Caenorhabditis elegans: one gene and its partner. The protein of the gene in region 2 interacts with the protein of the main gene of each other region in a pairwise test. Each region holds a gene or a part of one and is shown on either strand. Other genes may lie near its edges.

The links. The genes of interacting proteins can lie anywhere in the genome.
Region 1: the proteins of magu-1 (region 2) and paic-1 interact in a two-hybrid assay, tested with the Caenorhabditis elegans proteins (one large-scale study listed by BioGRID).

The regions. Positions count from the first base shown.
Region 1 is NC_003280.10:4,369,089-4,374,220, forward strand, and holds paic-1 (Phosphoribosylaminoimidazole-succinocarboxamide synthase), read right to left. Parts: upstream 3,438-5,132; 5' UTR 3,428-3,437; coding exon 3,332-3,427; intron 2,820-3,331; exon of another isoform or gene 2,750-2,819; intron 2,546-2,749; coding exon 2,057-2,545; intron 1,760-2,056; coding exon 1,583-1,759; intron 1,255-1,582; coding exon 970-1,254; intron 926-969; coding exon 725-925; intron 683-724; coding exon 659-682; 3' UTR 537-658; downstream 1-536. Other genes in the region: try-9 (Peptidase S1 domain-containing protein), read left to right, coding at 1-50, 96-223, 315-530; ntl-2.1 (NOT2/NOT3/NOT5 C-terminal domain-containing protein), read right to left, coding at 3,858-4,314, 4,799-5,014, 5,076-5,132.
Region 2 is NC_003281.10:468,677-473,290, forward strand, and holds the start of magu-1 (MAGUK family), read right to left. Parts: upstream 3,027-4,614; 5' UTR 3,020-3,026; coding exon 2,941-3,019; intron 2,647-2,940; coding exon 2,336-2,646; intron 1,732-2,335; coding exon 1,519-1,731; intron 1,210-1,518; coding exon 1,129-1,209; intron 1,018-1,128; coding exon 831-1,017; intron 785-830; coding exon 687-784; intron 1-686. Other genes in the region: nemp-1 (Nuclear envelope integral membrane protein), read left to right, coding at 3,657-3,735, 3,783-3,937, 3,987-4,069, 4,419-4,501, 4,555-4,614.

The DNA of each region.
Region 1 (5,132 bases), on a different chromosome or scaffold from region 2:
CCCGAGGATCAGAGAAACCGGATATAAGCTTTTTGGTTATGGAAGAGATCGTAAGTTCCGATTTTTATGTGATCTTTTGAAATTTTTAATTCCAGCTTCGGATAGTGTTTTGGAGTCTGGAAAGTTGAAATCGCTATACTCGTTTGTTGCGGAGTGCTCCGACGATTTCCCATATGGCGGGGTGTATTGTACGTCGGCAGTGAATAGAGGATTGTCTTGTGATGTTTGTTTTTAAAGTTTAAAAGTGTTTCTTCAGAAGTAGGCAGAACAATGCCTACTTGCCCAAGATGCCTAATAGTTTCCACTGATTCCAGGGTGACAGTGGCTCGGGAGTTGTCCGAACATCGGACACTCGAAATGTTCAAGTTCTCGTAGGTGTTTTGTCAGCCGGAATGCCTTGTCCAGAACTCTACGATACCCATAATCGTCAACGTCAGCAACGGAGACAGCTGACTCAAGAGACTGATCTTCTCGTGGATGTCTCGGCACACGTGGATTTCTTCTGCACGTGCTGTGGAATGTGCAGTTGAAAGTTTAAGATTCAAACATTTCATTTCGTTTTTAATATAAGAATGCTGAAATAAAAGTGAACGTTGAGTAATTAGTTAATTTACACAAGAAAGTTTTTGAAAAATCTGATTTCAATTCAGTCCTGCATCTATTCAAGTTTGCGATTGGCGTTCTGAAAGTTCAAAAATTAGAAATTCACATCTCTATCACTTACGTAAATGTTGATTTGATTCTTGAGCTGTGCAGTGAGCACTTTTCCAAACACAATATGATTGTGAGACGCGAGGATTTTTGCGGCGGCAAGCGCGGCCTCCGATGGGTCCAACACTGTAGTACACCCGATTCCATTCGGCATTCGGAGTGATGACCAAATGTCAAGACTCGTTGATTCACTTGGTGGCGGGCAGTTGATCACCTGAATTCTTTGAAATAAAGATCATCTGATCTTTCAAGTCCTACCGGAAGAGACGAGTTTCCAGCAATAACTGGACCGAGTCCATTGGATCTTCCAGCTACTGCAATCACAACTGTCGGAACTCCACTTTCTTCGAAATCAGCGATAACTTCCAGAGTGTCCGAGGTAGTTTTATGAGCTGAGCTTACTTTCAGCGTAGTTTCCAGTCCAAATTTCTTGGCTTCATCAGAGATTTTCCGTGCGAATACGCCATCCGAACCAGATCCCATGATCACAAGAACATGGCATTTTTGCTGGTGTTTTGAGAAGGTGGCAGTGATATCCATAACCTGGAAATGTTATTGGTAGGTAGATACGCCTTCGTGTCTATGTGCCTGCCTACCTACTCAACGTGTCTACCGAAAATTGTAGGTATGCATATTGGCAGAAATCAGGTGCAGATCGCCTTGCAGGCAGGCAAGTTATTGTGCTTACACGAAAGGTTTGATTCGCGTAAAAATCTAACAATTGATATATAGGATGATTGAATTTAGGTTTAGGCTTAGGCTTAGGCTTATGCTTAGACATGGGCTTAGGCTAAAACTTAGGATTAGGCTTAGTCTTTGGTTTAGGCTCAGGCATAGGCATATGCTTAGGCCTAAGCTTCGGCCTACTAACCTTTGTATAATTCTTCAAAACGAGAGCCAACCCCTCTTCTGTCACTTCCTTCATATCCCTGTAAACTTGCTTATCCAACTGCAGACGTCTATCATTTTCAGGCCAAACTCTCCACGAGTCATTGTCAATCACGTCGGCCAGGAGAATTTCTCCTTCAACTGTGACTCCGAATTCGATCTGGAATTTTCAGGTTTTCTTCAAAATTATTTCAAAATTACAACAACCGACAATTGTAAAATTCAGCGAAAAGAAAAACACACTTCTCCTCGTGAAGTACTCAAGCTGCGTAAATCGACACGTTACAGAAAACACCCAGTTTTAAATGGTGCTGATTTCCTTTCAAAATGTAAATATTTACAAAACGAATATATTGCAGACCGAACATTAAACTTACATACTTTTTATTATGTTTACTTTTTAAAGTTGAGACCGATAAAAAAAAAGAGAATAATAAAAACTTTGCAACACCCTCACCTTCATATCAATCAGAGCACTATTTGAAAGAGCCCATCCTTTCTCCAATGCTCTAAACACCAACTTTGTCATCTTCTTCATCAATGAAATCTCTTCTCTTCCAATTTTCAAATGATCAATCATCAAACCATTCGACACAATTTGTTCATCAGTCCATTGTGGATCATCATTAGCGTCGTCTTTGAAAAATGTCTCCAATTTCAGATCATTAAATCTGAAACCCTCTTTAACTCCAGGATTTCTCTTCAAGAAGGATCCTGTCGCAACACGTCGTGCCACCCATTCAATCGGAATCATGGTGCATTTACGGGCGACAAATTCAGTTTCAGAGATGCTTTTTTCAAAGTGTGTTGGTAGACCGAGAAGTTGAAGATATTCAAACACGTTTGATGTGGTTTTACTTGCGATTCTAGACTTTCCTTCAAGCTCATTTTTACGGACAGCGTTGAATGCGGTCAAGCTATCTTTGGAACGAATGAGCACATAATCCTGAAAAGATTTTGTTCAGAAATTGAAAAAGTTGGATTCAATTTTGTTGAAAAGCACATTATTATCGCAATCCAAACGGAAAAATTCAAATAGATTTCAAATTTACGAAATTGACCGAGTTTTTTCTAGGCTCCGTGAAAGCTCAGACACCGTTTTTACAGGAAATTTTCCGTACGTGTATTTGAAAAATGTGCTGAAAGAGTGGCCGAGTTTTCTCATTTCCTAGGCCACAAGCTGGCTATTTGCGGCGTGGCCTAGAAAACGTGAAACCTCGGCCACTCACCGACAGTGAAAACCGAACATTTCTTTCAAAGATTATTTTGAGCATACTTCTGAAAAATCTCTTCTGATAATTCGGTTGGCCGAGTTTTCGTGTTTCTAGGACACGCTTTTCTGAATATTATGTAGACGCATAAAAATGTGACTTGGGCTGCAAAAGCGCGCCACGGATAACTGAAAACCGGGTCTCGTTAGGTATTGGCGGTAAAACCGTATAATCCTACTTTTTTGCCGATTCCAGCACTTTCCAATCATTTCTCGTTGTTTTTAACGATTTTTATGTTGAAAAATGCAAAAAAAATTGGGTGAGATCGTCAAAAATTCACGTTCCCAACGAGACCCAACGTTTTGGGGCGGAGCTTGTCAGATTACTCGCGGAGCGCGTTTGCATCACGATTTCAAAAGGCGCTTTTAAAATATCTAAATTTTAATCTATAAAGCATTAAAAAATTAGTAGAAAATTAATGTTTTCCCAAATTTTTTGAATTTTCAGTGAAAAAAACCAACCTTTTCTCCTTTAATATCAAAGATTTGCTTGGTTTTTCCTTCAGCAAGAAGCTCCAAGTTTTCGGGTCTCGACGCGATTTCAGCCAACGACGACATGACAAACAATAATAGTATCGAATGAAACTGTGTTGCTATCACGGAACGATATCAGAACCCCCTTGTAGGCGAGTTTGTCATCGACAAACATCTTGTTTTCAGCCTTTTTCCCCGTCTTATCAGTTCGGTGTTGCGCCACTGAAAATACAGAGAAAACCGCCGCCGCCAGTCATTGTGAAGCTCTTTCTTTGAAAAATCACAGGTTTTCAAAGAGCAACTTGTGTATATCGATAATCGTTTATACGAAAACGTAGAGAAAAGAGGAAAAATAAGGAAAACGAAGGAAAAAAATGGGAGATTGGGAGAGAAAATGTGGAGAGAAAGAGGGGAAAAAGAGATGGAAAATGAGAGAGAAAGGGAGCAATTCGAGAACAAGATGACGAAAGTGGGATATAGAAAATTTGCACACGAGAGATCATCTTCTTCTTGTTTAGTTTGGAGTAGCTCGCGCCGCCGATGGAACGGCTCCCGGTTGCACATTGATTCCTCCGATTCCAGCTGCTCCAACACCACCACCACCCATAACTCCGTTAAGACCCGCTGGTGCCGGTGGAGTGATTTGTCCGCCACCGCCGCCACCTGTGCCGAGCGTCAAGTTATGCATCTGAAGCATCAGACCCGTCTCCGGACCGCTCGGAAATTGTGGTCCTTGGAAAAAGTATTTGTAGGGTGTCGGTTGTCCGGAAACTGATTGCGGCATTTTCGGCCGATCCTCGAGCTCTTTGTACTCCAACTTTAACTCTTTCGGAATTTTTCGCCATTGCATCTGATCGAACACGTTGTAATGCCCTTTTTCATAATTTCCCGTCTGTTCTTTCACTCCACCGTACTGAGAACGCGTCAACCACACCTGTTCGCTTTTGTGAAATCGCCATTCGCGAGCGTACCTGCAAAAAATTTGAAAATATAATGATTGTTTCGTGATAAAAAAGATTTTCTCAATTGCTAACATAAAATATATGTTTTTTTCAATTTTCTAGCTAAAATTTTAAAATTATTAATAATTTGATTCGTGAACTTCGACCGCGACGTAACTGCAAACGGAGCGGCTCAATAATTTTTATTTTAACTTTTCGCTAAGAACGCGTGATTCACATGATTTTTCATAAATTTATATATGAGGCGAAATAAGAATCAACTAAAATGATGAACAATTATGCGATCTTAACGAAAAAGCGGATTTTCTTGAAAGTTTTTCGCCCAGAACGAGTGATTTTCTATCATTTTGGCCAATTTTTTATGCGTTTCATATGTAAATTCATGAAAATCACAAATTCTCGGGGAAAAAAAAAAACTAAAATAAATTTTTTAAACACGACGCTCCGCTCGCGGTCATGGTCGATGCAGGTTTTTGGAATAAACTTTACTTACAATTCGCACGCCGCCGCCACCTGATAAATCTCGTTTGGACAGTTGTAAAAAAGATAGAATAACACGTCTTCTGAAACTTTATTCAATCGCAGCGGTGGAAGTTTGTCTCGAATATGATTATGCGTCATGTACTCCTCGGGCACCTTCACGTCGAGCTCGTGTGCTCGAATCGGCGAATCGGCCCACGGACCACCAAAGTTCATGTACAATTTTCGTCTGAAACAGAGGGAAATTAGAGTTTTTCTGGGCTTTTCGGGCTTTTCAGGCCACTACTCACTCTGACAAATTCAAATTCAAGCCCAACGTCGTAAGATCATAACCTAACGCCAGTGAA
Region 2 (4,614 bases):
GAATTGAAAAAAAACTACACTTTTTAAAGAAAATTCTGAAAAAAAGTGCAAAAGTGGAATTTTCTGGATTTCCAAAATTCCAATTATCTGGATAAAAACCACGTGTAATTGGTTTTTTTTTAAATGAAAAAATTTCTCTTTTTTTTACCTAAAAAGTAACGAAAAATCCATTTTTCTGTTCAAAAACTCGCAAAAAATTGATTTTTTACTTAAATTTCACTGAAAATTCCCATTTTTAACCTAAAAAATCCCAAAAAAATCGATTTTTCGCGCTAAAAACCCCACAATTTTCAGTCGTGAACGTTAAAAATCGCCATTTTAGCTAAATTTCCACTGAAAATTCTCTTATTTTTTACCTAAAAATTAACGAAAAATCCATTTTTATGTTCAAAAACTCGCAAAAAATAGATTTTTTACTCAAATTCCACTTTTTTTTTCGATTTTTTGAATTTTTAAGGATCCGATTGGACTTTAGTGTTGCCAATATTTTATAGCGTTTAAATTGAAAAAAAAACTACGCTTTTTAAAGAAAATTCTGAAAAAAAGTGCAAAAGTGGAATTTTCTGGATCTCCAAAATTCCAATTATCTGGATAAAAACCACGTGGAATTAGATTTTTTTAAAATTAAATTTTCTCATTTTTCTGAAGTCATAAGTCACTTTTAAACCCTTTTTCCAAAATTATACCTCTAAAAATGACTGAAAATCATCTGAAGTATCTATTCCATTTTCTGGAATTTCCGATTGACACTGTAGCCATTCCGACGGTACGAGACCCACTTTTTCTGAAAAAATCATTATTTTTGGAATTTCAGAGCGCAATTTTCTCACTGGAATCATCTCGATTCTCGTCATCATGACTCTCTTTCCGCCTCGCCAGTGCTCCGAATCCGATTTTTCGAGTTTGCCACCAATATTGGTCCTTTTCGTCGAGGATCTCTAGAATATCACCGCCGCGGAAGGAAATTGCAGCTTCTGGGCAGGGATGACGTTTGTCCTGCCATGGATCGTAGTCGAACTGAAAACTAGGAAGAATTCTAGGCTATTTTTACGGAATTTCTACTTGGAAATTGAAAAATTTGCGAATTTTGGACTAAAATTCTGAGAAAAACTAGAAAAAACCACTTACCAAAGCTCGGGCATACCGATGTGACGACTTTTTCTGCTTTAACTTCTGGTTTATTTCTGCAGGGATCAGCTTGAAGGTTATCTGAAAAATAATATTGGAAATTTGAGAAAAAACGTGTATTTTTATAGATTTTCTTAAAAACTTTTTTAGTTCAGGCTAAAAGTTACAAATTACTGAGAAAATGCAAATTTTTTCTGATATTTCAGGTTTTTTTTTTAAATTATAATAAATCCATCTTCAATGTTTTTTAACAAATACAGAATTTTTTAGCAATTTTCAGGTATACAAGACGATACGAATATGTGATTTTTTACAAATTTTCTCTGATTTTCGTGATAAACTGCTAGGAAATTGTTGTTTTTTCGAATTTTTTAAAACAAAATCACTAACAATTCCATTATCACATTTATCCAGCAGCTTCACGATTTCCCTGGGCTCCTTATCCGCTACAGTAATCCCATTGACCTCCAATACTCGATCGCCTTCCTGAATACATCCACTACGGTCTGCCACACCGTTCGCCATTATTCGTGCCACGTATACTTTGCCACGTTCGCATTTTATTGTTGCACCGAGGGGTTCGCCACGTCGCACTATTCGCACCTGGAAAATTGAAACAAAAAATTAGAAAAATGAAATGGAATATAAAATTTTTGGGTCTGTTAAATATTTAGCAGACCAAAGTTGGGTATGCTAAATATTTAGCAGACCCAAACCAATATTTAGCAGACCAAAGTTGGGTATGCTAAATATTTAGCAGACCAATGCCAATATTTAGCAGACCCAAGTTAGGTATGCTAAATATTTAGCAGACCCAAGTTGGGTATGCTAAATATTTAGCAGACCAAAGTTGGGTCTGCTAAATATTTAGCAGACCATTGCCAATATTTAGCAGACCCAAGTTAGGTATGCTAAATATTTAGCAGACCAATGCCCATATTTAGCAGACCCAAGTTAGGTATGCTAAATATTTAGCAGACCAAAGTTGGGTCTGCTAAATATTTAGCAGACCAAAGTTGGGTCTGCTAAATATTTAGCAGACCAAAGTTGGGTGTGCTAAATATTTAGCAGACCCAAGCCAATTTTAGCAGACCAATAGAATTTTATAAAAGTGGAAATTTGAAAAAATTGTCAATTTTACTAGCCAATTTTTCCAAAATTTTGAAAATTTCAATAGAATTTCCGAACAAAAACCGTCGATCCTCACAATTTTCACAGCGACCCCATCATCCTCGTCAACTTCGAACGGAACGTCTGGAAGCTGCGGAGCAAACCGCCCGGCTGAAATTTCCTGCGCCGCCCATAATACTCCCTGTACACGTGGCAAATTTAGGAGCTCAACGAGTTGCTGAACCGACGAAGATTTGATATTTGAAATGTCCCAGTCGTCGAGAACGTTCTGTGATAGTTCTTGAAATGAGATCTCTTGTTTCTGGTCGTTTGTTGAGAAATTCCGCAGAATTGATACGGCTTTTTGTTGCTTTTTCGTTAAACTTGTTCGTGGAGGCCTTTCGTCGTCTGGAATTTCAGTAAATTGGTGTTTATTGCCACTTTTTTTTTCAAAAGTAGCTAAAATTTGCTTAAAAACCATAAAAAACTTGATTTTTTTAAGATTAAAAATGTTTAAACTAGCTTATTTATCTACTTAAAATTCTAAAAACCGTATTTTCAAAAAAAAAGTTATATTTGGGTCTGCGAAATATTTAGCAGACCAAAATTCCTTTAATTTTCGCCGAAATTGTATTATTCTTCCGCCAAGAATCTCTTTTATCTGCTCAATGTCTTGCAATTTCTCGATTTTCAAACACGTACTCTCATTAGATGTCCCCGCTGCTACTTCCTCTGCATAATCCAGTATTGTTCCAAATATTGCCGATAAATTGTCGGGCATTTGAGATCTGGAATTCGGTTTTTTCTTCAAATTTCTTCAAATTTCAGCACTAATTCGTAAAAATACACGAAATTTCTGTCAAAAAATCAATTGAAAGCGAAAAAATGAGCACTTTAGTGTAAAACAAAGGGGGAACCTTTTAATTTAGAGGGGCTCGGTTAAACAAGGCGTGCGGCGGAGTGTCGTTGCAAGGAAATTTGAATTTAAATTTTATTTTTTCAGGTTTGATAAAACGTATTTAAATTAAAATTTATGACATTTTTTTATTGTAATCGTTAATTTTTCGAGTTTAAATCAATTTTTGGCGAAGTTTAGTTCATAAATATCGACTTTCCTTCGATATTTCACAATTTTTTCGATTTTCTTCGAATTTTTCAATCATTCTTTTCTGATTTTGGAATCGAATTCCAGAAATTTTCGAAAATTAACTAAAAATTGATAACAAAACAAAATAACTGAAAGTTGTCCACGAGGAGTCCACAGAATACTTTCGTGGCGGGACCCGGCAGCGCGAAAACCTAGATTTCGAATTTTCATGTGAATTTTCACGTTTTTTCTCTGAATTTCGGTTGAATTTCTCCCCATCTTCTAATTTTCCAACAAATATTTCTGAATTTTCAGCAAAAATTCGGCGCAGATGCGCTTACTGACCCTCGCACTACTCGTCGCGGGTAGCTTGGCCTATAAATTCGAGGATTGTGAGCAAAAACCGGCAGGTAAGACTTTTTTAAAGTTTCAAAATTAAAAAAAAAATAATTTTCAGCTCTAAACCAGGTCCTTCGTGTCGGCGCCAAGCTTTACTCGTACAATCTCGACTTTTTCTATCAGAAAGCACTACCTTACAACGCGATATACGCGTTTACCGATGTTTTTTTGCAGACTAATCTGACAAATGCGGATCAATATCAGTTTTATCAGGTAGGTTCTCGGGAAATGCTTGCGAAAATATAAAATGGAGTTGTTTCAGGGTACAAACTGCACAACTGTTCAACAGCTTTACGATAATGACAATCGTTATTTCGGAATTTTACGGAAAGCCGCACTTTTGAGGTTTGGACCGCGAAAAAGACACAGATTTTATGATAAATCAGCAAAAATTTGTTGGATTTCGCTGATAAATAGAAATGTGCAACAGAGAAACGTGGAAATTTTGGTCTGCTAAATATTTAGCACACCAAAGTTGGGTATGCTAAATATTTAGCAGACCCAAAGTTAGAAGAAAGCCAATAATTCCGAATTTTCCGTCTAATTTTAATTAAAATTCGATTAAACTTTTGCGTTTCTGCTAGGATTTTAGTAAATTCATCGAAGATTTTGCAGAAAGTCACGGATTTTCGGGTATCCCAACTCTAGCTGTAAAATATTCTGAAAAATCCAACAATTAAACTAAATTTTGCAGATCTCATCAGTTAAATCCGTTCAATGACACAATCGTCGGCGTCTCCACAACTGAACCATACGAAATATCGGTTTTAATTTGGAGTTAGTATTAAATTGAATTTATTTTTAAAAAATCGTTAAACAAATTCTTCCAGAAGTCAACTATTTCCGTGTTGGTGTCTACGTCGGAGCAATCGTGCTATTTTTGCTCGCCA